4 linked regions of the Struthio camelus genome follow. The protein of the gene in region 4 interacts with the protein of the main gene of each other region in a biochemical or structural test. Links are inferred from orthologs where the notes say so. Each region holds a gene or a part of one and is shown on either strand. Other genes may lie near its edges.

The links.
Region 1: the proteins of MPDZ (region 4) and CRHR1 form a complex in vitro, tested with the Homo sapiens proteins (2 studies listed by BioGRID and IntAct, with this or other methods). The link is inferred for Struthio camelus from reciprocal best matches to the Homo sapiens genes MPDZ and CRHR1.
Region 2: the proteins of MPDZ (region 4) and KIT form a complex in vitro, tested with the Homo sapiens proteins (2 studies listed by BioGRID and IntAct, with this or other methods). The link is inferred for Struthio camelus from reciprocal best matches to the Homo sapiens genes MPDZ and KIT.
Region 3: the proteins of MPDZ (region 4) and HTR2C form a complex in vitro, tested with the Homo sapiens proteins (3 studies listed by BioGRID and IntAct, with this or other methods). The link is inferred for Struthio camelus from reciprocal best matches to the Homo sapiens genes MPDZ and HTR2C.

Annotation. Positions count from the first base shown.
Region 1 is NC_090966.1:3,503,001-3,510,280, reverse strand, and holds the start of CRHR1 (corticotropin-releasing factor receptor 1), read right to left. Parts: upstream 3,179-7,280; 5' UTR 2,858-3,178; coding exon 2,810-2,857; intron 1-2,809.
Region 2 is NC_090945.1:56,830,865-56,838,602, reverse strand, and holds the start of KIT (mast/stem cell growth factor receptor Kit), read left to right. Parts: upstream 1-4,587; 5' UTR 4,588-4,673; coding exon 4,674-4,740; intron 4,741-7,389; exon of another isoform or gene 7,390-7,528; intron 7,529-7,738. UniProt on the Homo sapiens protein: Tyrosine-protein kinase that acts as a cell-surface receptor for the cytokine KITLG/SCF and plays an essential role in the regulation of cell survival and proliferation, hematopoiesis, stem cell maintenance, gametogenesis, mast cell development, migration and function, and in melanogenesis.
Region 3 is NC_090952.1:25,398,217-25,405,445, forward strand, and holds the start of HTR2C (5-hydroxytryptamine receptor 2C), read right to left. Parts: upstream 3,361-7,229; 5' UTR 3,288-3,360; intron 531-3,287; exon of another isoform or gene 474-530; intron 1-473. UniProt on the Homo sapiens protein: G-protein coupled receptor for 5-hydroxytryptamine (serotonin).
Region 4 is NC_090982.1:21,775,071-21,783,073, reverse strand, and holds the start of MPDZ (multiple PDZ domain protein), read left to right. Parts: upstream 1-4,666; 5' UTR 4,667-4,684; intron 4,685-4,805; exon of another isoform or gene 4,806-4,880; intron 4,881-5,424; exon of another isoform or gene 5,425-5,516; intron 5,517-8,003. UniProt on the Homo sapiens protein: Member of the NMDAR signaling complex that may play a role in control of AMPAR potentiation and synaptic plasticity in excitatory synapses. Promotes clustering of HT2RC at the cell surface.

The sequences.
Region 1 (7,280 bases), on a different chromosome or scaffold from region 4:
GGCTCCTGGGCTAAGTTTGCTCAGGGACCCTCTGCTAATGATTTGGCCCTTCTTTTGAGCCTGAAAACTGTTCTCTACCCCAACTGGCAAAGGTGGAGTGAGATCCAGCCCCTCTAAATCCTGCTCACTGGGGGTTGGTGATGGACTCAGACCTCATCTTGAGCTCATCACTCACAACAGACTTCTGGGCTGGACCTGCAGCAGGCTCTCCGCTGAATTTCTGGGGAGCAGGGCTGTATTTCAGGATGGAGTCGAACGGTGTCCGCAGGCTAGACTCATTGTATTTCTATACATTCATCCTATGGCAATACAGCAGCTATTCTGGGAACAGGCTGCGCCATTGCCATTCGCTTTTTCACTGGAGATGTGAAATCACGGGGGTGATTTCACACACCCAGAATTAACTCAGGCTTTTAAGGAAATCCAGGACTGGAAGATCCCCAGGGTCAGCACGTCCTGCTGCTGCAGGCGTCACGTCTCCTGCAGAGATTGGAGTAGCGAAGGGGTGGTGGCCCTTTTTCATGTTTATTGTTACTGGATGTGGAGGAGGGCAAGGGAGAGGGGAATCTCCCACCCCCCACCCCATCAAACTCATTTTCATAAAATAATAGGACTTTATCAGCCCCAGAAATGTCATCAGTCCCTGACAAAACTGCAGGTGAACTGTTTCTTTCTGTTTCGTTTGTTTAAATGAGTTGTAGGGCACAAAAAGAGCATTTTGCAGCCTGTTTCAAGTTTGGCTGCCTATCTCTTTGTCCGTTTGTCCTTTCTCCAAGGGATGTCTACCTGGGAAGGCAACGGGGACAAACCTATGCTAAACTGGAGCTGACAGCCAGGTGCGTTGGAAACACCTTAGTTGTGCCAGCTCAGAGATCTGCAGCCTGCAAAACCTGCCGAAGCAGGAGAGATTAGCACCCGCTGCAGGTCTCTGCGCTCCTGGCTGGATGCTGGTTTGGGTCTGCCTGGCTGCAGGGACGCTCTCCCTTTGGGCTACAGTTTCGTGGTCACTTTTAGCCCATGCGGCTAAGAGTGCTTAGAGACGAGAAGCTTGGCCTCACACATGGCTGGGGCCGCGCTCCTAGACCCCATGCAAGGCCCCGTGCAATGGCCACATGGGAAAATTGCGGTGCTGGGGCTTTCAGGGGCTTGGACTGTGCTGAAAGTGGGGCTGAATTCTGAATGCATATGTTTCTCAGGAAAAAAATTATATTGGGAAGGGGTACTTTTTTGCTTGAGCGTTTCTTTTCAGGGCTGGCCAATGCGGTTGGGTAGTCTCCGGTTTGCCAGAGTGGTTGTTGAGGACCATCAGCACTATCGGGGTAGTCTCCAGTTTGCCGGAGTGGTTGTTGAGGACCATCAGCACTATCGGGAGACCTGTTTGCCCATGGCCAGGAATAGCTGGGGCTTCTCACAAGACTGAACTCTCGGCGGGCAGACTAAGATTGCCCACTGCAGAACCTGCCTCTCTTGCGCAGGCGTTGTTGCTTTGCCAATGTTGTCCCCATGCATGGGTGCAGGGCTGCTCTTCCTCACCTTTTCTTACATCAGAGCCAAACAAAACCTGCACTGGGTAACATAACCGCAGAAGAGCTCTCATAAAACAGAATAAGGGCTATGCAGTTAAAGAAGAAAGCAGGTTGTTCAGAAGAGGAGCTTCTAAAAAGCAACACCAACTTGGCAGCAGGCTTGGCTGGCACGTATTAGCTCTTCGCATCACTTAAGTGAGAACTTTCTTATTCCAAATGTGAAGCTAAATTCTTCTCCCTGATCTTGCTGCTGGGTGGTGCATGGCTCTGAAACCAGCCCATGGGATACAAACTGCAACTGTGCTAAGGTGGGAGGGATGACCCGCTGCTTTTTCCTGTCGTTTCAACTCTGCATCGCAACTGTGCTATTGAGACAGCATTTTGTGGAGAGCCATGCAAATTCTTTTTCACCCTCTTGACACAGACGTTTAAGCAAAAAGCTGATTGTTTTGTGTAACTGCATATCCAGTTTTGTTGATATAATGCTCAGGTTTTCACTGAAAACCTTTTTTTCTTGTCATCCCCCCAGGGTTTGGGATTTAAACATTCTTTGGGTTGGGAACATTTGCTTTTTCGATGAGCTCTCGGGGAGGAGGAATATTGTTTCTGACAAAGCATTTGCATTTTGTGCAGAGCTGCAAAATTAGCAGTGGCTACAGTTCCATCGTGAACAATTTAAAGAGGAAAGTCTTGTGCTTGATGGGGAAAAAAGGAGCAGTTTCTTTAGGAAAACAACCGAGGGGATAGAATTAGGCTACGCATTTGTGCCATCCCTGTCCATCACACCCCCAGAGCAGCCACCCCCCCGCCCTCTCTCAGCACAATAAGGGAAACTGGTGGCAGCTGGTGACACTGGGAGGTGCAAGGCAGAGCCAGGCTGGTCTGCAAGGCAGCTTGCCCTGGCTCCTCCAGCATGCCCGGCTGCTAGCCCTGAGCTGGGCTCTCCTGGCCACCGCCAGGGCCTGGGGACATGCCCTGTTCCTCAGCCCCTGCTTCCAGGCTGGGAGTCCCCCCCTTGGACTGATCCTTTCACTGATGCCAGCTCCCTCCCCCCCCACCCCCCGCCTTTTTTTGGTCACCAGGAACTTGCCAAGACCCCATGACTTGACTGGAGGAATCCTTCTGGGGGCTCTTGGTAATGGTTTTTCTCATTTCACTTTTCCCTTCATTCAAAGCAATGGAAAAGTCACTCAAGAGAAACCTGGCAGTCCAGGAGGCAAAGGGGTGGTGGGGAGGAAGGAAGGAGAACCCATCCGGGAGAAGAGGGCTTGCGAGCATCTTACCTGCAGGAGGAGGAAGAGGAGGAGGGTAGGACGTATGCCGGACATCATCCTTAACTCCCACTATGCCCAGCTCTCCCAGGCATGTTTGGCAGCAGTCCCCACTTCTGCTGGGCTCCTTATGCTGTCTGGGGTAAAATCCTCTGGGCTTTGTGTAAACGAGCTTGTCATCGACACGGACCCAGGCTCTTGGCACTGCAACTCCCGCCACCCTGAGTCTCAGCTGGGCTGTGCAGAGGGAAGCAGGTGCCTTTCGCCTTCCCTCTCCTTTGCTCAGCAACCTGCTCCTGCCTTTTATAATCTTGCTGCGAGCCGGTCGTCTGGGCTCCCCACCTTCCAGCTCCCCTGCTCGGCTGGGGATGGGTTACATCTCTTCTGCCATCCTCCCACTCCCCCTGTCTTTCCCTCCTCCTCCGCTGCTTCCTCCTCCCCTTTTCCTTCCTCCACAGCCCCGGTGCCTTGCAACTCTTCCTCTCTTGCCATCCCCTCCCTCAGCATCTTTTGCAACCCAAACTTTCCGATTGCCCAGGGAAGCCCTTCAGTCCCCCTGCCCTGCCTTGCCCTGCTGGGGATGCGTCCCTACGTGGGGCAGGCAAGCCCCTGCCCAGCCTGGACCACGTCCCCCGGCTCTGTCCCTCCGCTCTCTAGTGGGAGACTATTCCTCCGCAAAGGCAGGCGTTTTGCTGTTGCTGCAAGCGCTTTTATGGAGGCTGTGGACACCTGTGTTTGTGTGTGTGTGTGTATGCAAAGGGATTTTGACTGCAACTTTTAGGAGGATTTGCTCAAGGCTCTGGGAGAGGGTTTGAGGGAAGGGAGAGCAAGGATCTGTCCTTTCCTTTGAGCATCTCCCTCTGGAGAGGGAGCAGGGGCTCTTGGTGCCTTCTTGTCTTCCCTTGCTCTGCTGGCCCTGATCAGCTTCCTCTAGGGCTGCAGCAGCCCTGTGCCTTGTAACTCCCTGGCAGAGATGAGCTGCTCCTTACCCCTATGGCCCCATGTCCATCCTTGTGCCTGCAGCACAAGTAAGCCTCGCCCAAGCCCCAGGAGAGCCTAGGCTTGGCTTTGGACTGGAGGAAGCAGACCAGGCTATAACAGGGGAAACTGAGTAACAGGGGAGGTGGGAGGCTGCTGGGTGGAGAGCGGCTTCCCCAGCAGGACTGGCAGTGGCACGGCACAGGCAATGCAGCAGAAACAGGAGGGCTTGAACTAATGGGGTAGAGGGGCACTGGTTTGGGGGAGATGTGTCCGTTGGGGACAAGTGTCCTGGGGAGGGTGGAGGGCAGTGAGAGGTCATGCAGAACAAGACTTCTGGGGTCTTGACTAATTTTTTCCCTTCCACCCTAACCATGAGACACTCCTGCCAGCTCCAGTGGTGCTTGGGGATGCGTCAGCCCCGGCTGTGAGCGTGGGAGAGACTTCCCTATGTCCCAGGTGTCGAATCTCTGGGCGTGGCCTGCGCCAGGTGAAGCCCGCTCCCTGAGTTGGGGTAGGGTTTTGGGGCACGCTTTCCACATCCTGCCTGGGGTTTGCGGGGCTGGTGCAAACCACAGCCGCTGTGCTGGCCCCAGGGAAAGGTGCCGGGAGTCTACCTGCTTGCAGTGACTCAGCAGCAGGAGAAAGAGCCAGTCAGCAAGTTATGGCTTTTTCTTTCCTTGTGGAAACAACTAGAGTCAAGCTGCATCTCCGGGAAAATAAAGGGATGATGGGAGATGTCACATCAGCATTGACACCTTCTTCCCAGCAGCCTCCTCCAGTCACGATGCTCCTGTAGGGACCAGAGACATTTCCCCCTTCCCATATCTAAGTGCCAACGTGTCAGTGGCAAGTGTCTCTCTCCAAACCATGTAGGGGCCAGGGTCATATCCTGCTCTCTTCCAGGCACCCCTGGCTGACGTGGTTGTACATAGGATTGCTGGCCGCTGGCTGGACCGTAGCACGTGAGCAGCCAGCCAAGGGTTACACCCAGGAGCTGTGTGGATGGTTCATCCCAGGCCTCAAAGGGTAAATCCTCCTGGCCCAGTAACTAAAGCAATAAACAACGCAGACATAAATCTTCCAGCATTAGCTGGATTTAATCAACTGTGTCATTGCTTTGGGAAAGGAGTTTGAGAATATGTAAAGCTCTAGTAAATTCAGGAAACTTGTTATTTCTTAGGTCTCCTAACATCCCAGCCCTTTGACAAGTGACGGGACCAGATAGACTCCAGATCCACCTTTGTATTACCTTGAGCTTCAATTAGCCCAATTTAAAATGCAAAAGTTTTGAGAGGAGGCCTTGAGAAAGTTCCCTCACCCTAGAAGAGCCTGGAAAAGACAGTGGGGAAGAGGTCGGGTTCAAGTCCTCCAGGCAAAGCAGGCTTTGACCCTGTTTTCCCACGCCCCTCTTGAGCACAGGAAGAGCGAACCGAGGCTGGTCACGGTGAGAAAAAAGGCAAAAGCATCAGTTTTCCCCTTCCTCAGGCCTTGCAGTTCATCCTCTGGGCAAGATGCATGCAGTGACCATGCTCTTATCAGATGCCAAAACCATGGGGTGATGGGAGGGAAGCGAAAGTGCACCCAAACTATTTTTAGTCAAGGAAGTGGTTGCCAGGGACATTAAGATAATTCCTTCCCCATATATCAGGGAAACGACTGCAGTGCTGTTTTAAAGGCCTAATTGAGGGGATTTATAGGAAAATGCAACTTGTCAGATGTGGCAGAGGAAAAATAAAACAGTCCCCTAGACAAGGAAATCACTCCATTCGTCATGGTTAATCTCAAATTCCTCCGTGCAGCAGAGAGATGAATGTGGGAGAAGGGTATTAGGGATGGGGGAAATGAAGAGAAATATCGGATATCCAGGAAGGAGGGAGAGCAGTGATTTAGCATGACTTTATCTGCCTTTGGTACATTATTATTTCTTTATGTAACTGCACATGGTTTGACACTTCTGTTTCCTAACAGCTCCAGGACACCTGCACTTTGGCGCTGTACGCGTGACTTACACAACCACAGTGCTGCTGGTGTTGTCCCCATCCACCCTGCAGCCGGCCCTTCGCCCCGTGCTGAGTGCAGCTAGAGAAAACCGGAGCATGTTGCTGTGCCTGTCCCTCTTGCATGGCATGGCCAAGGGGAGGCAACCAGGACTGCTGCTTGCACATGCAGGAGCTAAGCACACGTGTCCCAAATTCCCATGTGGAGCTGATGCTCTAGCACTGCTAGGTGTGAGCCACAGGGCTTTACTTACCAGTGTGATGTCTACAAAAAAAAAATAAAGAAAAATCTTGTTTGGACTGTCAGAGTCCAGGACATTCAGGCCAGGCTAGTGGAAGTCTAGTGTATAACTTCTTGGTGTGCTTGGCTGCAGAAAACCGCAGCTGAGATCACCATTGTGGGGCTATACCTCAGTTTCCCTATTGGTAGGTAGGTGTGGATCAGATAGCTCTAACAGTGTTCATACTGAGCCTTGGAGGATTTATCTAGTCTGTCCTCTTTTCCAAGGCAGGAAGTATTCTGCCTTGACTAGCCGTAATGGATGCCTGTCTACTGATTCTTGGAGATACTTAGTGCTAGAGAGCCCAGCTAGCCCAGTGCTTCCCTATCCTCACTCCAAGGGATTTTGTGCTAATGCACAAAGGGTCAGATTTGTGGTAGAATAATGCAAGAACTGTTAAGTTTTATCATGCTGCCTCTGGCTCAGCCTGTCCCTCTGCCACAGTCCTTGGAAGTCGGAAGTGCGCTCCAAGGAGCTCTTGCTAAGGATTCCTGTTGCTTTGCATTTCCCTGATTTCCCTGGACACCTGTGGTTGACTACAGACCATGACAGTGTGCTGGACTAGATTCACCTGTGAGCTGACCTGGGAGGGCTACTCTTACATGCTTGCTGGTGGAAGCCTTCATCCTTGGCCTTGCCACTGTTGCTTGGTTTCTACAATGTGCTCCATGGGGATGAAGTGGCAAAGGGGGGAGATAACCCCCCCATTTAGTAGCTGGCTTGGCTGAGTGCTTCAAGGAGATAAACTCCCCACTCAGTTGGAAGGTGTTTCCCTCTGGCATGTCAGGTAGAGCAAGGAGCAAGCCAAAGAAGAGACGCTCATGCTCATCTCATGCATCAAACACGGACGTTGTTCCGAGTAAGCAGGGATTTGCCACATGTTCATACATCTCAATTTAATGCTCTGGATAAAAGTCAGACATTGGCGCTAGCTTCTGGATGATGCAGTGGCAGACACCACGTGTTCACCATGTTTATGCATAGAAAGCCAACCTATGTGTGAGCTACTCCCTACCAGTTCATGAAGTCTAAACCCATATCCAGCTTGGGTGGGTGGACCAGTACTGTGACATGTTGTTAGGGGGCCAAGGACACTGAGCCCCAAAACAGTGTCTGCAAATTAAAAAAAGCCAACTTAAGGAAGGTGAGAAACCCACAAAGAACTAAGATCTAACTAAGCATCTCATTCAATTTCTGAGTGTCTTAAAATAGCCTGTTGTATTT
Region 2 (7,738 bases), on a different chromosome or scaffold from region 4:
CCTCGATATGTTTTCAGCAACCAAGGAATTAATATCCTGTTCAGAGGAGACAGAGAGCGCAAAGCAGAGGTCTTCGGGTTTGACGACCACAGCTACCACTCATGAGAAACTGAGGAACAGTGCAAAAAGCAGCTAGCTAAGAGTAGCAGAACACTCCTGAGAAAGCCAAGTCGGATGTGTCTCTACAGTTATTCTGGAATGTTAAATTTGTCTGGTGCTTTGCTTAAAAAAAACGCACCAACAAACTAAAATAAGAAAGACCCAGAAAAATCCCACTTGAAAAAAACCCTTTAGCGCTAAGTCACTGAATGGAGTTACAGAACTTTTACAAATTGAATCCTGCAGCTCCGGCCTTCAACAGTGGCCTCTGCAAGTAAAGTAGCAAGCGATAAAGGGCAGAACAGTACTTTGCACTTCACAAAGACAAATCTCTTTTCTTAGCAAGATTGTAGGGTATAAACTAACAAAAATGCTATCAGGAAGATTAGAGCCTTTATTTTCCACTTAAGCTTACACCGATAAGACAGTTTTTACAATAGTGTGCTATGCATGTGATAACACGAGATATCTTTAAAAATAGTGTAATATTTCAAGCTTCAATGGCAATTATATCTTGGCTCTTGACATTTGATGCTAGAAAACTCTTTAATTAACTAGGCTAGCAATAGTGATGTAAGATCACAGGCACAATGGGATTCAGTGAGTATTTTACAAAATTGGATTAGAAGGAAATAAGAGATACTTTCCACTTTAGTAAGACTGAATGGTCCATCTGAAAGTTCATATTCTAGAGGGGAACAACATAAAGGTGTCCACTTTATCTGCATTAATTTTAGAGTCATTCCTGTTAAAAGTAATGGAAAACTCTTCAGTTAAGCTGCATGGAAGACTTTAAAATCCTCCCATTTACAGATGAAACCTTAAGATACAAGTCTATCAAATACCCTCAATTGTCTCCACCCAATCCCCCTTCTACTCTAGCAGGAGGATGCAGGAGACTGCAAAGTTAATAAAAATAAAGGCAAAGGGATGTCCTGAAACCTAAAGCCTTGCAGGAAACAGTCCCAGATGGTTCCAGTTGGTACACCTTGGCATACCAAGTCTAGACCAGCAGATTTCCCTTTTTTTGTGTTAGTAAACAAGAGGCTTAGAAAACTCATAGTCACGGTTTTGTCGATTAAAATTAAGATACAGCACAGTGATGAGTATGTGTTCTTGCATGGTAGTCATATGACATTCCTGATGGCTGCGCTTCAGAACTGCTGTTTTCGATGAATGCATCAAGCAGAAATTTAACTACTTTTCACTTTTACAAACTGTAACAAACTTTTATGGCAATGATGAGATAGCAACTACAACACTTGTAAATCAATATATGTTTCAAAGACTCATAGTTTCTCAAAGCCTTCAAGTATTAGAGGTGAGTTAATTCCAGAGTCATCCGGATTGCAGGGGCTTCCCTTTTCTATGGAATAGGAATGTCCTAGAGTAATATCTCTTAGTCTACAATTTAGAAAAAGAGAGTGCAGTCTTATAGAAGAATTCATCGTCACACAGTTTATCAGGAGGAATTCTAGCAGGCATTGACTGGCTGTATCAGAAGAGTATTTTCCTCTCTTCTCATTAGATATACCTTGCCAGAGATAAAATAGATTCCACAGATTATTTATACTGAAAAGATTTAGTATAGAAAGGTGTTCACAGACCTAACGAATACAGCGTTTGATGCTCTCAAACTAGCTGAGATAATTTCCAGACGCATTTGCATTCAGATACAGAAATTATGCAAGTCCTTCATTAGTTCAGCAGTTGTTCAATGACATGAGCATAATCTTACCAATATTATCGATTTATACAATGTTTACTCCAGTAGGCAGTTCCATGGATGTGGACAAGACCGCTGATGACAGTAAATATAGTCTTTTGAATTGGCTGTTTAAAGGCGCCAGTCCATATTTATGGTTAAATCACCTGAAGGATTTCAAACTGAAGTGAGTTTTCCAAATAGAAGGTTTCATATATTTCTCCAAGCTTATCATTTTTATCTTCAAAACCATTGTTTCTGGAGTCTGCGGAGCTTCACCCCCCCCCCCCCCCAGATGTCAAACTGCTGCAAGTTGGTACAAGCAGACAATCAGAAGAAATGGCATTATCTATCCTAACATATTGCCATGGTACCACAGTAACTGAACACAGGAACATGTGAGGGGCTACCTTGTCTGGCTGCAAATGCAAAATAGACCTGTTTTGGCTTAAGGTCATATGGTCATATCTTCTGGAAGAGAGTAAAAAGACCCAAGGGAGTCCTCTTCACTGATTAAGGGGAAACGCTTGTTTCCCTTTATACTGCAAACAGAATATGGACGAGACAACTCTGCCTTACATGCAGTTTTCAATGCAAGATGTTGGACAAAGCAGAACTACATTTGTCATTATGATTATTAAAAATAAATGAAGTGGCAAGGCTACACCTAATTCACCTGTGCCTCCCACTTACTGCAGCTATTTATAGCCATGCAAAGTGCATGTTGCCAAAGCACATTGTTGCCATTCTGATTTTGAGATGTTTAACATTCAGCTAAGGTTGGGCAAAAAAAGGCGCAAGATGCAGGGCAATGCAGTTGGGCTGCATGTGATCAGGGATGTGCAGAGCATAAAGCCAGGCCACTAACTGAAATAACACTAATCAAAAAGAACAGGGAGAAACCTGTCATAACAGCAACATCACATGTTCCTTGATAATGTTGCAGTGGAAACCTCCTGCAGCATATTGTGCACTCCTTTGCATCTTTAAGAACGCAAACTGTAAATGCTCTAAGCCCTTGTAAAAAAATTGCCAAGCCCCTTTTTTTCTCCTGAAAAAAAGAAGCACAGAGACACCTGGAAAATCTAGGTGGCACTAAAATTTTAAGTATTTTAGCTGGTTTTTTTTCTCTACCCAGAATTAATTTGGTGAGGCTCACACCTAGTGAGAAATATGATTTGAAAATGATGTTTGATTTTGAAATTGTCAGTGTGCTAACAAAAATGCATTCTGCTTTGCAGGCAAAGGAAGGATTCACCCATCAAAAGAGACTAGCTGTGGGAGATGAAAGAGAGTAAAGAAATGGAGAGCCATTTTAAACATATAAGACAAGACTTTCATCTAACACTGGACCATATGGGACAGTGCTATTAACCTCGGAAAAAAACTGACAGTACTGAAAAAGCAAAGAAAGAAGATGAAGAAAAAAAATGAATAATTTGCCTTCAATAACTTTTCTGATCTGTACTGATGTGCTTCAAAAAGTCTACATTTATTCTGGTTGCTTTTCCACTGGTAAGAGTTTGGCCATGAGTCCTCTACATCCTTATGAACATTGAAAAAGCGTTGTTTGGGGTTTTCTGACAGTTTATGCGTCCTTTCCCCATCTGCCTGTTAAAAGACTGTGTTGTCCTTGGCTCTCTGGTCAGAGCACAGCAGGGGAATGCATGTACGACTGCTCTGCCTCCAACATCCAGTATCACATGTTACATCCAACTTTCTTTCCCTTCAGCTGTGTGTGACACAAAGGAGAGTTGAAGACAGACATTTCTGCACTCAGAATTATTTCTGCAGTTTGTATTATTTCTGCCCGACGGGCAGCTTCCCTCTCGCTCTGCCGATACAGAAGCCAGTGCTCCCAGATCCTCCTGCTGAACCGTTTGCCTCATCGGGGCTTACAAATCTCCCCATACGGGATACCACAACCTGCCCTCCACGATGCATTTGCAGAATAAATTCTCCTTGCTCTTTGCAAGTGCTTTCCTAACATTTAAGTTTTTTTTTTCCTGAGAACTAAATGGATTACTTTTTATCTTGCCCTTGGGGGACATGAAAAACAATTGCTCGCAACCCTCTTTGTGGGAACCTTTTCCATGTTTTAAGATCCCTGTCAGCCTTCTCTTTTCCGTACCAAACTAGCCCGTTCTTTCACTCTTTCCTTGTGTGTCACAGGGCATACTCGAGCCCTTCCCTTGCTGCTAAAGCGCGACTGCCCAAAGCGGCCGCGGTGGGAAAGCTGGGCTGCGCGGGCCGCAGCGCTACCTCCGCGGCTCGCCGAGGCTGCTGCGACACCTCCCGCAGCCAGAAACGAGCCCGCGGCTTGGGCTGTACCTGTCCTTGCGGGGCTGTTGCCTCCGCGCCGAGCCCCGCCGGCCCTGCCAACCCCGGCGTTGGCCCCAGCTGCGCTCCCCGCGCAGCGCCCACCCCGGGCACCGCCGCGGCCCGCAGGCGATTTCTAGCGGCGGCACTGAGCGCGTATTTGCTCACTGGGTTTTTTTCCAGTTTTCCCTTGTTTGGGGGGGGAGGGGGCGGGGGGGGAGGGAAGGAAGGAGAGGTGCGTGGGATGGTTTGTTTTTTCAGACCGAGGCGAAGGCACCCCCCCCCCCCACCTCCCGCGGAAGGAGGCGGGAGAGTTTCTCACCTGCGCCAGCCCCGGCGGGGCGGGGCGGGGCGCGGGGGGCCGCGCAGCGCGGCGCGGCGCGGCGCGGCGCGGCGGGGCGCGGGGCGGGCGGCGGAGGCGGGGCCGGCTGTACTCGGCAGCCCTGCCGCGGGGGCTCGGGCATCTCTGCGCGCCGGGCGGTGCGAGCGGGAGCGGGAGCGGGAGCGGGAGCAGGCGCCGGGCCGGGCTCGGGGCGGGGGGGGGGCCGGCATGGAGAGCGCGTACCTCGCCTGGGAGCTGGCGCACGCCGTGCTGCTGCTGAGCCTCTTGCCCGCAGGTGGGAGCCGCGGGCGGGCGCGGAGCGCCGCGGGGCGGCGGGGCCGGGACACGCGTGGCGGTGGCGCGGAGAAACTTTGGCGGCCAGCGCGGGCGTCCCGGCCGGGCGGAGCGGCGCGGAGCCGTGCGGTGCGGTGCCCTCCGCGCGGGGCCAGCCTCGCCGCCGGCGCGGGGGCTGCGCGGAGCGGCCGCGGGCGGCCCCTGCCAAGCGCGGCAGCGAGCGCACCCCGGGGCCGGGCACCCGGCGCGGCCCCGCTCCGCCTGCGCGGGACGCTCCGCCGGGAAAAAAAAAAACTCCTTTGTTTGCAAGCGGCGGTTATCTGGGGCAGGGAGAGGGGCCGGGAGGGCGCCCCCGCCCCGCCGCTGCCCGGGCTGGGCTGTTTTGCCAACAAACTCTCGGAATCGGTACAAAACGTGCCCGCGGTGAGGTGCGCGCTAAACAATAGGCAGGGGAGGCGCCGGCAGCGGGGGCCCAGCGCCCCCGAGGGCAGCGGGGCGCCGCCGGCTCGGTGCCCTCGGCCGGACCCGAGCGGGGCCGTGGGGTGCGCGCTGGTCGGTGCGCGGCCGCCCGCCGCTTGCTTCGTGCCAGGGAGGTGCCAGTGGCCCCACCTGCGTGGGGCTGGTGCTCGCGCGCGGGGCTGGCGGTTTCCCACGCGGCATCCGGCTGCGGTGTTGGATAACTTCGAGCAAGGCTTTTGGAGCCGCCGTGTCTCGAGTTGCGCTGTTTGGTGGGTTAAGAAACGGGGTAGTTTTTTTTTTTTGGGGGGGGGGGGTGTCTGCGGGTGCCACAGGGAGATGGCTGTTAGTGTTTGTGGAATTGCACACAGTTTGGACCAGTGCACCAAAATTTGAAAGTGGACAACTTGAAAGGTTATCTTCCTACTCTTCTGCAGGAGAAAGCTAAGCATTAAGGGAAGCAGTGCACTTGCTAGGTGTTGTGAGTGCTGCCACCAACAGAGAGGAGACTTGGAGAGTGCTCTGTGTGTGAGGAGACAGGGGAGGGCTGTGGAAGTCTTCTGGGCCATAGTTTTCCCGTGCTGGAAGCAAATAAAACTTTAAAAAAAACCGAACAGTAGTGACAATTTATGATTCTTTATTGTAAGCACTTTATTTTGGCATGTGAGAAAGGGCAGTATTTGATTTATTAACACTTTTAAATTTTTTTTTTTGGTAACATTTGTGTTTTGTTCCCTTTTGTTTATTGATTAGTTCCAGTAGAGCGCCGTACCCGACAATTTGGACTTTGCTGTTCAGAATATCCACATGTAGGGATATATCCGCACATAACCAGAATATCCACAGACTATCCAAATGCTAGTGCAGTAGTCACAGAGATACAGAACTCTCCTAACAATGTGTTATTCCCTGGAATTTCTTAAAAAGTATATAGAAGTGATTAATATCCCAACAAACGTCTCCACTTCATACTTGTTTTGCCCTGCGCTTGAAGCTTATCCTTCATCTGCCAATTGGACTGTCCTTAAGAAAAGCTTGGGAAACACGTCAGACTGTCCGCATCTCGTGGAGGCCACCAGGTGCATGCTCTAGACTACTGTGGGGCGAGGAGGTAAGGGGAGGTGGGAACCCTTCGATCCTTCATCTGATTCTAGGTTCAGACACTTGTGGGAGGTATTTCCCTTCAGTGGCACATTAGGCAAACTTGTGTTGACAGAAATTCATAGTGTAGTCATAGGCACCCATGACTTGCCGTTGCAAAAGGCAAGGGTCTGTAGGTCCCTCCGTATGTCGTCTGTGTATCACATAGGTGTAGGGCAATTCAGGGCTAGCTTTGTGCTGGAAGGGGTGTCAGAAGGTGGCTCATGTCCTGGCAGGGGCGCTGGGCACACTGAAAGCGACAGGCCTGACAGAGCCTGCTTTGCTGTGCTGGGTTTTTCTGGAGCTGGCTTGACCCCATGTTGCTTTTGGGATTGCCGCAGTGCAGACCCGTGGACTGGATGATCTCCTGCAGGCCCCGTTCAGACCTGCCGTGTTTGTTGTTTATTCATATACAAGCTTATATTAAGTATCTTTTTTTGGCCTTTAAGTCAAGAGCTTTTTCCTTTGGTTGCAACCAAGGAAGGAGGGAGAATGTAGAAAGCAGAGCTGAATGTAACTTGTTGGAGAGGAACCCATTCTTCTTCTCTGTCCCCACCCCCTTCCCCCTTCCCCTTGTCTCTGAACACATGCTTGCACTTTTCCATCCATTTGAGGGTTGCCTAGTCCTCCTTTGATGGAATATTCTGGAATAAGCTTTTTCTCTGTGCTTTTTCCCTATCCTCCCGCGAGGCTCACCCCCCCCCCCCGCCCCTAGTACTCTTTCAGGGTTTTCGCCCTGCAGCCGAGGAAGGCTGGACCTGGTGGCTCCTTTCACTGCCCCTCCTGACCGTTTCCCAGCGAGCTGCAGGGTAATGGGAGGCTCTCCCTCTTCCCCGGGGGGAAGCATGTCTGTGTTCATTTTGCTTCCCGGTACCTGCCAGCCTGGAGGGAGGAAGACTGAAGGCGGAAGATAGAACTGGATAACGATTCTGACTGCTGTCACTGAGTCGCTGTCTTGGCCCCTCAGATATCCCGCCCTCCCTCCTCCCCCGTTTGTTGTGTTGGGCCTCCTTGTTCTGCCTGTCCCTGTTGTCTCCTGCGTCTTTTCCTCCCTCCCCTGCAGCCCTGCGGATTGTCCTGTGCATAAATGTGGCCCAAGGCCACTGCCAGGAGCAGAATGGAAATGTGAAGGATTGTTCAATAGTTGACTCTTTTCCTTCCGTTACAACTGGGAAGCTTTTCGGAGCGAGTGTGTAAGTGATTTTTCTTCAAGCTTTATAATGATGTGATAAATTTGGCAAAGAGTGAGATGCACATTTGCATCCAGCTTAAGTACTGTTCATAGAGACTGGAAGCATTTCCATGTGCTCTTTTTCCAGCAGAGTGCCTCTCACTGACAGATTAGCCCAGCTGCATTACTCTTTGGTTACGCTGGCTCACCATGGGCTTTTCATTTCACTTCA
Region 3 (7,229 bases), on a different chromosome or scaffold from region 4:
CATTATAGGAACTCACAGTAGGTATCTGTAATGGCTAAGCAGGGAAACACAGACAGAACTAAAGCATCTCACTACTACTGAAATCTTTTTCAGTCATACTAAAGAATCAAGTGGAACTTTTATTGAACTAAAGATATTTACTATTGATAAAGCCTTAAATAAGTATAAGAAATGGAGTAAGCCATAAGGGAACAGGGCCAGGAAAAAATTCTTACAGGGAAGAAAGGAAACCTAACAAAACTATCACATACCTTTCAAAAAAAAAAAAATCTTCAAAAAAACTATTAAATTCTAACTGCTGACATACCTGCCCAGTAGTCTCTCTACAGGACAGCTATACCCCTAGCCACCTAAGGAAACACAAACACCACCTACCCTACCACATTAGTCACCCCTCCCTAGCAAGGGCCTTTTATATAAACCTACCCTCAGCAGAGCAATCTGGAGGCTGGTTGTATAAATTTGGCAATGGCAAGCAGCTGCTGCTTATATACAGTAGGGATTTTGAAACAAGAAGCTGCTTCTGTCTGGTAAGTGTGTTACAGTTTGGGGTGGGGGGGTGGTCTTGGTTTCTAATAATTAAGCTAGCAGATTATGCTAGCTATTAAACATAGGATGTAAAAAAAGCTGTATTGGTAAGAAAGTTGCTCTTATAGAATTGTTTAATACAATTGAATAGCCTCTCTGAAGAGGAAAAGAAGTACTTCAATAGTTTCATAAAGCTTTCTAATAATGAAAACTTTTAAAGTGCTAGGAGAAAAAATGCAGTACCTCCACAAGTTTGCTGGGAGTGTTACTGACAACAGTACATCATGGCTCTCAGAAGTATCACCCGTCCTCAAGAAACCTATCTGAGAATAAGGAAATGATAGCAAATTAGAAGTATAAGTCTTTGTAGTCTTTTCTTAGAATTATGAAGTAGAGAGGATTGTATCCCATCAGTGATAGCAGGGGACCAGAAGTAGTATTCCTAGAATAAGAACTGACTTGAAGCATTATCTGTGCTGATATTTACTAAATACAGAACTTTTAGCACTGTAAGTTAGGTGCTCAGATGCTGGGAATGTATCCTAAAGAGCGCTTGCTACAGCTTGACACTTAAGTTTTATTTTGTCAAGTGCCTTTTAAGCCAGGCTTTTGACATGAACACTGATCCTGAATTTTATTCTATCTAGAATGCTGTTAGCTCCTCAGTGATGTTATAATGAAGTTTGTGGTTTAACAGTAAAATCAGTGAGCTGTAACTAATTCATGTAAGGCTTCTGAAACAGTAATGAGAAAAGAAAGGTAGCTTTAACAACAAATAGATTTTGTGTTCTATAGTGTGTCTTAAAATAGTGACCTTACAGTCAGTTTTATACCCTAGAAAGGAAGAAGTGTGATTCTACAGTAACTGTAACTCTGAGCAGAAATAAGAGATGTGCCATGAATAAGCACTTCACTGCAAGGAATTTTCTCCTGTGCCAAAATAATAAGTTTTAAAAGTTAGAAATCAACTAAAAAAGGCTAAATACAAAAGTTAATGTAGCAAAACTAAGATAAGTGGCAGATAGATCTCCATGCTTATGGAGAAGGAAAGTACTATATTCTCCTTGGAAGACACCAACACCAGCCAAGAGGTAGCACAGACCACCATACTGCTCTGAATATATGCTTTAAAGTAGAGCAACTGAAGCTGTGTAGAGTATCAGTATTGCCTTATTCAGAAAGTTATGCCTACAGTGTAAACCTCTAATAAGGTTAATTATGTATATGAAGGAAAGAGACTAGAACAACAGTTCCACTATAATTAAACCAATCGGAGTCCTTTGTACATAACCTTAAACTATATATTTTTAGATCACTAATTACAAAAGAGTATACCTTCTATCATATTTTAAATATAATACTTAGTATTTTGGCTTCAGTTAAGTGTGCAACTATAAGGCAATTAAGAAATGGCAAATGATAAACATCTTCAAATTCTGAACTAGTTTAAGTTCAAAAAACGAAAAAGCTTCATCTGAAGGAAAACAATTATTTCAGCCCTGTAATGCATTAGTGAACTACAGCAAATAAATCTTATTGAATAGATGTCCGTAACAGAAATATCAGAATCTTATAACTACTGTTTTGTAAACTATGCAAGACTTGCCCATTGGAATCCCTTTTTGCAGGCAGCCACAGAGATGTCTTATGTGTCTTAATTAGTATAGCTTTTAGATACATCATGATACTGTTCCCTAAAAGACACTTTGTTCAATGCATGCATACTGCATGCTTACTGAATGGATTCCCTTCTGCTTTTCTACTGTACTCTTTTAACAGTCTGTTCTACAGACATTAATAAATATATCTCCATAAGCCCTTGAAGCAAGATTCCCACAAAAACAGTGGGGATAAATGCACTAACATAGTGCCCAAACTGAGATTTCCTGTTACTACACAGCATGCGCTCCTAACGCTATTTAGCATTTGATCCTCAAAGCTCATATCATTCATCTCAATTACAACAATGAATGATTAGCCCTTCTGAAAATCAGCCCCATACTGCTCTCAAGTGCTTTGAAAGTGCAACTATAGGGACCACCTGTGAAAAGTTTGGGTTAAGTGACTTGCCTGATGTCACACAAACTCAGTGCCAGGAGCTGGAACAAATACAGTTCTCCAGAGAGGTTTTTCTCATCCTTAACCATAACATCATCACAATCTGCATTCCAGAAGCCATTTATTACATAGCTTCTGCAACAAAACACAGGTGTCTGAGTTTGTTCACCACAAACTTTTTAGTTCATAATAGGCTTGTGGCCTTTAGGAAAAGTAGTCTTATCACTGAGACTAGCACCATGATGCATATATCCCCTAAGTAGGCATTTTACTTATTTTTTTTTAAATGTGTCTATGCACAAAAAGTAGCCAAGTTCTGTATTACTGATGCCTATACAGATTATCAGCAGGCAGGGGTTTTTAGATTCATGTTGGAGATGTCTTCCCCTTGGCCTATTACCTTATGCAAGTCTGTTACTGGATGGGGTGGAAGCACACTTTGCCACTGGCTCTCAGTTTAAAGTGCTGTCAGCAGCACAAGAGTGAGGCATTGGACTTTTGTGGTCCACTTCAAGTTGAGGGGGTGTGAGATAATGGTTAGACACCTGTGTTCCTTTCCCTTTTCATCTCAGCTCTCCAGTCCCTTGGGAGGTTAAACGAAGAGATAATGCCTAAAATGTTCAAACTTAAAAGCTGTATTTCTTGTAGATTAGAAGCAGTATAGTGAAAAACGGAAGTGTATAATGGAAATAGTGGCTTACGGTTTTTGTGAACATTGGTTTATGACCTGGTCCAGTTGACAAGTTAGAACGGTGCGTAACATAAATCCATAAAGTCACTTCAATATGCAAAAAACCTGCTTTGGTCTCCATGTTAGCAAACCTAGAAAGATAAGTATAAACTTCAGCTGAATTGTAACACACCAACATAAAAGATCCTGCTCACTTACACCATTCCCCTGTGCATGTGTTTAAAACATTACTAGAATTAGAAGAACACTCGGGTATAAATAGATGTGACTCTGTTCACAAGCAAAAGCAGGGCACAAACCCCGCTCGTGGCAGCGCTGCACCTCACGTTGTGCATGAGCCGCCTCATCTAGCGCTAACAGGGACATTACTAATTTTCTGCCTTCCCCTTCCTCCCAGCTAATTGTGGCACTCTGGATCTTGCGGCGAGCCGGTCGTAGAGCTAAGCTAGCTTAACCGTGCGTTTTGCTTGTTAGTGTGGTCTGCTGGACTCCGAACGGGCTCGGGGAGATGGGACGAGCCCCGCAGCTGGCGGAGGGGCTGCGACACCCCGACAGGCTCAGCCACGGTGAAGTATCACTGAGGGGCAGCTGCCAGGGATTTCCCCCAGAAGCAAGGGCCAGAATCTGGCCTGCATCATCCCCCTCCGCCCCGGCCTGACACGGAGGTCGCCGTGGGCAGTCGCGGCGGGACTGCCCAAGGCAGCTCCTACCCTCCCAGAGCCGCTTTGCCCCTCAGCTACGCAAAGGCCTAAAACAGGGATAAAAACCAAACGTTGGATAAACCAAATGGGGACAAAGCCAACCGAACCGTTGGCTTTTTACACCATCCGAAGAGTGTGAGGCAGTGCCTGGCGAGGGCCGCGGTCTCGGGCAGAGCGTCGGGGCCCGGCGACCGCCGTCCCGGGGCGAGCTGCGCACGGGACCACCCCCCCCCCCCCCCCGGCCCCGGAACCGGCGGCAGCGCGGGCCGAGCGCGCCCGCTGCTGGCGGCGGCCCGCGCCAGGACTCAAAATGGGCTCTCGCCCCTCACAGGCGGCTACTCCCTCACTCAAGATGGCGGCCGTCTCCACTTAAGTGAGGGGGGAAGGAGGAGGGTTGCCCCAATAAAAAATGGCCGCCGCCTCCCCCGTTTTCGCACAGCGCTGAAGCCGCGCGCCCATAGCAAAGATGGCTGACGCCCGGCGCCCATGAGGAAACTGCCTCGAGTGTAGGGAAAGGGAGCGGCGGCAGGTCCGCTCCCGCAGCCCTTTCCCCGCCGAGCCCCGCAGGGTGGGACCGCGGCTGGGCCGGGCCGGGTTGGGCTAGGCCGTACCGAGCCATCCCGCCCCTCGGCCGCTTCAGAACGGGAGCGCTGCCCGGGAGTGACGGGCTGAGCGACCATAGAGTTGGACGCCGGCGAGAGCGGCCTTTTGTGCGGAGGGCGGGGCCGTGGCGCTGGCGGGACCTGCCCGGGGCCCTCCCGTGGGCAGAGGCGGCCATTGCCCCGGCGGGGGGAGCCCCGGGGCGCAGCGGGGCCCTGGCGCCTCGCCCGGGGAAGGTCCGGCGCCGCAGCCGCGTTGTACTGCAGGCCGGCTGCGTCGGTGGCCGAGTGGGCACCTTTCCCCTAGGCTCCTTCCTAAACCTCCCCCCCCCCCCCCCGCCCTCAAATCCCAGCCCTCTTCCGAACCAAAACCTCAAGTCGTTTTGCTCATGCTCAGTTTTATTTATTTATGTTCCCCCCGAGCTGCCCAGGCTTGCTTTTTGGCTTAAATGAGCCTTCACCCCTTCCCCCTCACCTCCCTCCTTCATCTGTTCAGAGACTGCCGCCCCGTCCCCGGTATTTAAATATCTTCAGTCTCCCGCCTGTAAAACGGGCTCCTCTCTCCCTCGCGGGCCGGGAAGGAGTTCAGCCCGGCGAACGGGCCGCGTGGCCCGCTTCAGGCGACGTTTGCCCACCGGCTCGCTGCGGCAGCCAGGGCTGGGAGCCCTCGCGAAAACCAGCCGGATACGTGGACCGTGAGGCGCGTCCTGCCGCTAGCTGCTCAGAGCTGACTACGTTTGGGGCTGCCTCTGCCCCCTGACACCGGTCCTCACGGTGGTTTTTCCCTTGCGGTGATGCTCCGGCCCCAGGTGGTGAGAACGGAAAGGTCCGAGTGCCCCCTGCGTCCTGGCTCGCCGCAGGCTGCGCCGCACCGCCAGCGAGCTGGGGAGGAGGAGGGAGTTGCCCTGGCCATCTGCGGAGGGCATCAGACCACTGGCTCGGAGCCTCCTTTCATCTCAGCAAAGTTTGGACGCTCCGACGCGTTTCCCTTGTCTAAAGCAGTCTCCCAGACAACGTCTTGCTTTTACCGCGGTGCCTCTTTGCTTTTCCCTTCAAACGTGCCCTGGTGGGTGAGCGACAGCCTGAGCGGCTGCGGTGGCCTGGGACGTGTCCTGGGCTCTGCCCGCGAGGAAGAAAAAGCTCTTTGGCAGAAGGGCTCCACGCAGCCTCTTGCTTTAGGGCCTGGCGGTGCGAGAATCCTGCCTCCATCCGCCTTTCCCGCTCCCGGAGCCTTAATTTGGAGCGTGGGCTGCCTGCAGGCTCCTCTGTGCCCTGGCTCGTGACGACCCCCCTGGGCCCCTTCCCTGCTTTCGGAGCTGCTGCAAAGAGGAGGCTGCGTCCGCCTACCCGCCCGTCCCCCCCCCCCCCCCCGCCCCGAGCGCCGGGGTGGACCCGGGGCGGCGGGCGTCCCGGGGCGCACCCTGACCCCCCAGCCCTGCCCGCTGCGGGCAGCCCGCCTCTGCCGGCCTGTGCAGACCTGCAGGCGGCATCAGCAGCCCTGCCGGGCCACAAACACACCCAGCAGGGTGTGAGCAGGCGGCGGAGGAGCCGAGCGGGGCTCTGCCGCTCAAGGACGCCCGGCTGAGAGCTCGGCCCCGGCGCTCACCTGGCGTGCCGGCGTCCCAGCTGCGGGACCCAGACGTCTGCAGCGAGCAGGTATTTCCTCCGTTTGGCTGGCCGCCCTTGCTGTGGCAGCCCGGGCCTGGGGAACGCTGCCCTGCACTGCCATGGGAAGGGCTGAGAGCGCCGCAGGAGAGCGGCAAAAGGGGCTGAATTATCCCCCCGCCTTGCTCTGCATGCAGCTGGGGGGGAGAGGGGCCGGCTGTGCTGCTCCCACCCTGCCCCAGGAGAGAGGGGACAGCGAGCCCAGGGCTGGCTGCGCGGGGGCAGGAGGCTGGGAGAGGGACATCTATGCTGGGACGTGCTGGTCTTATCTCTGCGGGGTCACCCTGCGCCCGCGCTGACCTGGGAGCTCTGCCCTCCCCTCCGCGGGGTGAAGGGGCAGTGCTGGGTGCCAGCTCCCGCTGCCCTGATCTGCGGACATCCCGGCTCAGCCCCGTTCAGCAGGTGAGCGGGTTTCACCTAGCCCTGCGACCAGCGTGGGCCCGTGGCCACTTGGTCATCCTGCGCCAGCGCTGCTGGGGCACCGAGGTCCCTGCCAGGCTGTGAGCACGCACGCTGCTGCAGCAGCAGGTATGGGACCCCTGCAAGCTCCCCGTGCCGGGGCTTGGGGTGTGCTGTGGGGGTTGTTCAGTAGGAGCTCCTTCAGGAGAGCTCCCGACAGACACCCCCCCCCCCCAGCACCTTGCTGTGTGTTTTTTCCCCTCCAAGCCATAGAGGAAGCTGAGCAGGGTCTGCAGCCTACGCAGCCCAGCTCTGCTTGGGACCTGTGCCCGCCGCAGGGGGTTTGCATGGCAGCTGCTGGTATCGCTGCTGCATTCGAGCTCTGAGCCAGGGGAGCAAGGTGGTGTTTTCCCTTTGCACCCCCTGAGGTGGCACAGCACCCTCTGGAGAGCACCCAGGGTGGGGGGGACATGTGTGACGGGCCCCTGCTGCGCCTCTGGCAGGCTCCGGTACGTGGCAACAGCAGCCGCTGGAGCCTGGCCGCCTGCCAGCACGGGGCTCGCGGCGCAGGCCGGGCTCAGCTGCGGA
Region 4 (8,003 bases):
TGGGGAAAACCCCACACTTTTAAAACCAGTCTTAATCTGACTAAACCAGACTCTCCTTGCAGGTATTCTGTGTCCGAAAAATCTACGATAAGGTTAACATGCTTTGTCATTTATTTGGCTTCACTTCACTGCTATGGGCAAGGCCTGTGGTATTAAACAATCCTGTTTGTATGTAAATAAATGCCCTTTTAATTTGCCATAATTTCAAGTTTTTTGTTTTGTAGTTGAGAATAATTAACATACCTTTTATGATTTTTTTTACTCTGTTCTACCTTCCGGGGCATACTTTCTCTTCCAGACACATGTGTAACCTCCAATAGCAATAATAACAGTTATGAAGTATGTCTGCAGGGGAGACAATTTCCCTAAAAACCTTTAAAATGTAAATCTATGCAACATTCCTGCCAAAATGTATGCTCCAGTAAGTGAAACTAATATTCTGTACTTGCCAGGACAATAATCCAAAAATGGAATAAATTCCAAACACCATACTTAAGAGAAAGTTCGTAATTTCAACTTTGCATAATAACATGCATGGTGTTCCCTCCAACTGCATAGTTACTTCTTGCCATCTGACTTTCGAAGTGTAACTTTTATGTTGAGGTGAGGGAGGAGAAGAGTGTTATATTTAACTTGATTGTATGCTTCTATTAGTAAAACTTCTGGAAAACGTAGTACACACGTATTGTATTCTAACCAGTTCCATGAAAAAGAAGAAAAATACTGATGCAGCCTTATTTGGACAGATAAGGATAGAATGCATAACCACATGCTTAATATATTTGGATTAGCAGCTATAACAATTACGATCACAGTTACCTTTGATGTCAGATTAGTTTTCTACAATTTAGTTCTAGTTAATGCAATAGATTACTCTTAACGCACACATCTGGGAATAACATTTGATTTATAATTATTAGTATTTTCTGACAAGGAAGGTTGTTAATAGTTGTGTTTAGTCTAAATTATGAACAAATGCTCTATTCGAAAGTATAATAATGTGTCTATGTATTCATACATTCACATGCATATACAGTGGCCAAAATTATGCTCTAAGTATTGAAGGGTAAGGTATAAAAACTGAAATTTATTTTTAATTAAGGTAGTGCTTATGAAAAAGGTTTATTGGAATCTTTCCTTGGGTTTTATTCATAATTCAGAAATGGAATTTGCCAAGCAGAGAAGTCAATACTTACATATCTATGACTATGTCTATATAAATATACAAATATGTAAATTATACATGTGTGTGTCTTTTATATATATAAAAAAAATATATAAAACATACACATCGATAACATCCAACAGCTAAGTCTACGCACAAATACAATACCCAGAGTGATTAGACTAAGCAACTCTTTCTGTCAATACATCTGTTTCTTAGGAGACAGACTGACTTGTGCCATAAATGCAGTCAAATGTCCTTCAGAGGCAACATCCTTTTTCCAGGGAAGTCAATGTTTGTGAGTCAAAAAGAGTGGAATCAGACGCACTCACATTTCATTTGCTGGATCCTGTTCCCATTACCATTTTAAAAGACTACATTCCCAACGGTGGTCTAATGGATGACTTAATGGATGCTTATGCTTCTATTTCTAAATACTTTTTTGTGCATTTACTTTTCCTTCATGTCTTCTAATAAATCTATGCAGTACACCATTAACACTAATCTGTGCTATTTTACTAGCAAGATGTGAATACCAGAAGTAAATCAGGAAGACAGACATGTCATCCAATATTGATGTTTCTTCCATGAGCATTTTTTAAATTGGCTTCAGAAATGAAATATTACTGGAGACTAATATTAGACAAAATCAAATGTTTTTTTTAGTTCCCTCTTCATCTCCTCCTTAAGAGTCCTTTCTGACAGACTATTACATTAGTAATTAGAAGTATTACTTTACTTACTTTTGTCATAATAGCAAGTCTCTGAGAAAAACTTGTTTTACAAAGCTATTTGTAGTTTTTATTTAAAATTACATGCTTTTCTATATGTAGACAAATTGATTAATCTTTAGTTTGTAAACACATTTATACTTGGCATGCAAAGTAGATTCTCTTCCCTCCCAGTTTAAGGATAACAGTATAGTTCAAAACTATACCGTACTGACCGGTACGCTACCCGCACTAACGAAGGCATGACACCACCCCAAGCCCTGCGTGACAGCGTACACCACCCAGCCCACCCCTTAACCTTCCTTCTCTGGGAAGCAGCCGCAGAGGTGACAGCTTTACTCAGTGTGGAGTCTGTAAAATGACTCTCTTTTTGTCCTACTTGGTAGCACCTTCTGTGGAAAGAAGAAACAAGTAAATATGAATTGTCTATTGGGTGTCTGTCTAGTCATCTCCCTAAACTGGTTATCAAGTAGACCTGCAGGACAGCTACTGTACTCCAACCCTCAATACTTTTCCTTGCGAAAACTGTGTCAGCATGAAGATAATCAGTTATTTTAAATGAGTTCATTACGTTACAGTGATGCAAATTCCTGGTACAGATGTGCTGCCGCCTGTTTACCAGGCGGCTAGGTTTGAGGGTGCTGCTAAGTTGGTATAATTATATCCACGCAAATACTTTTAATACAGGCAAGGCCTAAGGTAGCATGATTCTTTGAACTTCAGTGAGTATAATCTACTTAATATATACTGCGACAGCCATGGTAAAATCTGAATATTATTGTAGACGAAATTCTACTTGAGAATAGCAGATTGTGTATTAAAAGAATTATCTGGAAGATATATCCCACACAAATACAAGTTGCAATGGGAAGAACTACTGCACAGCTGATATTGCTATACATTGGAAAGAATAAACTGCCATTTGGTTTTGGCCCATTTTTAGCTGCAAATATGCTTACTAGTGTCACTGTATTATATTTCAGAGGGATGTCAAGGTCAAGGCCAGAGCAACAGAATTAATAACAATAGTTGTTACTAATTCTGTTATTAATTCTACATTGAATGTTCTACATTCATCTAACCCACTGTGGTTCTTTTATAGATTGAATAATGATGTACACAAACGAGCTGTACCTTCTTTTTAATATTTCATTCTGGAGTCATGCAACATGGAAAGCTGGTGGGACGCTTTATAGAGCAGTCACTTTTATAACTATAGCAAATCGACTCTCAACATTTAATTTAAAGGATCAGTATGTTAACAGGCAAATGTTAGATCAAAAAATGTGAACGTGTGATTTCCAGATCTTGAAAATGGTTACGTTTTTCTCAGGTAAGCTATGGAAGAATGACTGTCAAGCAGGTGTGATTACATGCACTTCCATGTACAACAGACAAAAAAGAAGCTAATCAACTGGAGTTCTTCAATCTGACAGCTGTAATAAACAAGAGAAATACAGTGTAGGGTAATTTTTTTTTCAAAAGATAATGTGCAAAATTAAAACAATCAAAATAATCCTGGAAGTGTACAAAGACCCATGTATCTTAAACTTTACACAAGAAATTTCCAACTCGTGAAAGTGCCTTCACCAAGGCTGCACTTAATGATCTTCTTTTAAATATTAGAATGGTATTCCACTGTATCTCGCAAATAATGACTTTTAAAAAATTGTTTATGGGAGAAAAAAACAACTATCACACGAATATGATAACACTTGCAATTCAAATATGTTTGGAGAGAAAAACAAATCAAACGAGAAGACAAGCAAAATTACAAAGTACCCAGCTTCTGCAGAGATGGCGTATTCAGTAGAACACTCCAGATTTCTTTTTAGCTTGAAGGGTGTTATCACAACAGAGCTGACTGAGTAAACATACTTGGCAGCAACAAGGGTAGACCATGATCCTAACCACATTAGCTAGAAGAAGCAAATTTAACAAACAAAAAGCAAAACACTTGGACTTTTTGGTGAACTAATTTCTGTTGTCATAGCAATCATTTTAGCTTTATGTTCTTTAGTCTTATGACATTTATACGTAGGTGTAAGGTATACAGCATCTTCACATTTTTACTTAAGACACTAATCTGCAATTGCTCAAAAAGAGGGATAATTACCTCCTATTTAGTCCTATGACATTATTCATCATTTTGTCTTATTCCATCATGTTTTATTTCCAAACACTCCCTTTTTTTTCCCCATTCAAACGTGGGCTCATTTTGTTCAGACTGTGTTAGGGCAAAAAAACGGTGGCTTGCTGGGAGAACAAGAAGGGGTGGCACGCTCTTGCACTGGTGGGTTGTGGCAGAATGAGTTAGCAGACCAGGCCCAAACTTTGCAGCGGGCATATCTACAAAACGTAGAAGAGTTTCTTAGAGGGACAGCGCATAGCATCTTTTTAAATATTCAGAGGGGAGCTCAATGGCACCTGGTTAATTTTACAAGCAGCCCTTCAAAGTGGGAAATCGGAGAAAATTAGTGCAGAGAAACAAAATTAGCACCAACCTACTTTTAGATCTGATCACGTAGGCTAACATCTCTGCGTGCTGAGCCCCTCTGCCCAGTGTGCCGCCTTGCCGGCAGCAAACGCAGGAAGTTTACTGAGGGGACGCTAATGCAAAAGAAAAACCAAACCGAACCAAACTAAAACCAACAGTGAGGGAGATGGATGGGAAGCCCTAAGACGATTTTTCTCCCCCCCCCCTTTTTTTTTCTGTCCTACCCACGCTGCAAACCGGGAGCGCCGCTGCGCGGGGCGCGCTGCCGGCCGGGGCCGGGGCCCCGGGGCGGTGAGCGAGCGCGGGGGGCCGCGCCGGAGCGGCGGGGGGGGCGGCGGGCAGGATTAGGTTTCAGGGCCGCCGGGGCGTGCCTGCGTGCGCTGCCCCCGCGGCGTGGCGCGGCGCGGCGCGGCGCGGCTGGGCTCGGCGCCGCTGCGCGGGGGCGGGCAGGGCGCAGGCGGCGAGCGGGGCCCGCGGAGCCGGCGCGGTAAGCGGGGCGCGGGGGGCGGCGGTGGCGCTTTGCCCCGGCGGGGGGGGGCGAGGGAGGGGGCCAGCGCCCATCGCCGGCCCCCACGGAGCGGGGTGCCGGCCGTAAGGGAGTTTTGAGTTTATTTCATGTGCATTTGATTTATTTCATTTATTTCGCAAAGTTGTTCTGTTTTTTTTTTTTTTTTAATTTTCCACTTATTTATTTTCCCGAGCGGCTGGGTTTTGCGGGGGAGGGGGTGGTGGCGGTGTGGAGGAGGAGAAGAGAGGCCTTGGAGGGAAGGGGGCCGGGGAGCTGCGGGCGCCGGCGGAGCCTGTTGCGTGTGCCCGGGGGCGGGGGGGGGGGGGCGGCGGGGAGCGGGCTGGGCTCCCCGGCCGCCCCGCGCCTCCTGCCCGATGCTCCCCGGGCTCGGCCCGCCTGCCCGGCACTCCTCCCGATGTAAACAAAAGCCGGGTCTCCTCCTGTTGCTGCAAGGCTGGCTTTCATTTTGCTTTCGCTCCCTACTACCCCTCCCTCCTTTTTTTTTTTTTTTTCCTCCTCCCAGTGGGGATTTTTTCATCTTTGCAGAAGGTCTCCTCCCTCACCCCCCGGCTTCTCACCTGCTGCGCTCTGCGCACCCGAGACCTATTTTGGAAGGTGTGTTTTGCGAGTGATGCCGTGGTGGTGTTTACCGCTCCCTCCTCGGGGAGGACTGAGCTCGGCTCTGAAATCCCCTGCCCTCCGAGTGTGTGGGGGGGTGAGGTGGGGGGGGTGCTGCGGCCGGAGGGGGAAGACGGGACATGCCGCAGACATGTTGCATGCGCAGTGGCCTGCGTCGAGCCCGAGTGGGATGTGACTGATGGGAACCAGCCTCCTCCTGGACCGCTTGTGCCAGAGGGTTTGCGCAGCGCTAGCAGCCGGCGGCGGCAGCAGTGCTGGGCGATGGCCCTGAGACGGACCCCCCGCAGCAGACGCCACCACTGCCCCTACTTTGCTTAGCAAGTCGGTGGTCCTGGAGGCGCTTAGGTTCTCAGCCAGGTCTTGTGGCGCCAAAACTCAGTTATAAGTGAAAACCAGCAAAACTCAAAAGGCCCAGCCAAAACCACTAGTTCTGTGCAGCAGATCTGTGTGAAAGACTCCATAAAAACTGGCTGGCTCTTTGATGTCATTGTAACTGCTGATAAGAGGTCACCAGTGTTTTTGGTCTTATCTTTCTTTATCAGTTATTTTATTGACGTTGGGGAGTTCTTGCAGTTATGGTCTCAATTACAGCTTTCTAAAGCCCAGTGGGTATTTATTTAAACGTTAATCCACGTTACACAGTGCCTTTAGAGGGGCCTAAATTTTGCCTTTTGATAGATTTGGCCAATGGATACTGCATAAGTTATATTAAGAGAAAGGTATAGTTTTCGGAGTAATTTCTTTTCCTGTGTGATTTTCCTTCTTCCTTCAAGAACATTCATAAACTATTGGAAAGAATAATAGTCTGTCACAAAGCTGGCAGCTTAACTCCCTGTACTGCATTTAACAGATTTGATTTATTATTTTGCTGAACAGTGTTTTATCCTTTTTCTCTCCTCGTCCTTTTTTTTTTTTTTCCTGCAGTGGTCAAAATAGCACCCCAGCCGTTTATATTTTTGCTCCTCAACGCTTGCAGGAAATTTTCCTAGTACAGCCTGTTGGATGGAAGATGTCATTAGTGGTTTTGATAACAGAAAGTGCAGCACGGGTTTTTTACTCAAGCAGAGCAGTGGCCTACTGTGTTAAAGGGTCTGAATTCTGCAGTTCTTGGAAGTTTATTTTGAAATGCCAGTTGGTATCAGTATCAGCAGTGCATTTCCCTAGATAACAACTGAATGGGAGGGAAGAATCTGAACTAGGAAGGAGGAAAGTAGTAAAATGTTAATGGGAAATGCTACTTGATGCTCACAGGCAAATGGAAAGGTGTGTAACATTAGAAGAAAAGAGCGTAGTACTAAAATATCTGAGGACATATTTACATAGATATTAACTAGCAACAAGTTTTATGATAGAGAGCATCATCTTAGCTTTTTTTTCCCCCAAAACTTTTGTCAGTTTTTAGAATATATTTTTTGTACTTCCATGTTATTAACAGGAACATGCATGTAACAGTTGCATGTAACAGTTTCTAATGGTTTCCTTTGTGTTCTCAAGAAATTTTTCTTCAGGAGCTGGATACATTCTTCCCTCTCTTAACGTGAAAGCGTACTAGGAAAGTTAGATCAATATCAACACTAGGGAAAGAAGAGCTGCACTGCTTACATACTAATTTTCTGTCTGACTCTGTGTCTGTGAGCCCCGGGGGGATTAATGCCATACAACTTTTTAGTCACTCAGAGCACTGTAGATGATCTGTGCTTCTTATTCTTTTTTCTTTTTTAATTGATCCCTCTTTAATCACTGTAGTGAAAACCGTTATAAAGACCCTTTAAATCATCTGATCCGTGTTTCATATAAGCAAATTTAAAATTCTGTAGATAAGATTTAGTACACTTTATATCTAAATGGCTTTGCATTAAAAGCACTCCATTAAAGCAGTTTAAAGCTAGTGGAGTACCATGCTGTTGGCATACAGTCTTACCATTGGTAGAGGTAGTTTTGTTTCGCCAATTGGAATTCCCAGCAAGACAACATCTAAATATGTCATTTTGTTTTCAGTGCCCTCTTTTTGCTTAAAATAATGCTTTGTGGTACTATTGGCTCGTGCTTCTGGAATAACTGCCGAGGCAGTATTGGGGTATTTCTCTCACAGGCTTTTCAGACCTGCTCCTTGCATCTGAGCAGCCTGCTTATTACGTGTTGTAACAATGATCAGCACTGCTCTTCTTGCATTTTCACAATGCACAATGTTTATTTTATAGTGTTTTCAGATAGTAAGGAAGAAGGTAACTGTTTAGTAGGGCTTTTTATTTGTTCATTTATATGTATGCAGTGAGGCATATACGTATTATATGTATCTCTGTGAGGCGTCTAGTGTACGTTAAGAGATGCAACTATTGTAGGAACTATGTTTAATTAAGTTTAACTGAATTTAACAAATACAGTAATTAATTCTCTATGCTAAAAGTAAATAGACAATATTAACCTTATACATAATTGTTTTTGAGATGTAAATGTGCTTGG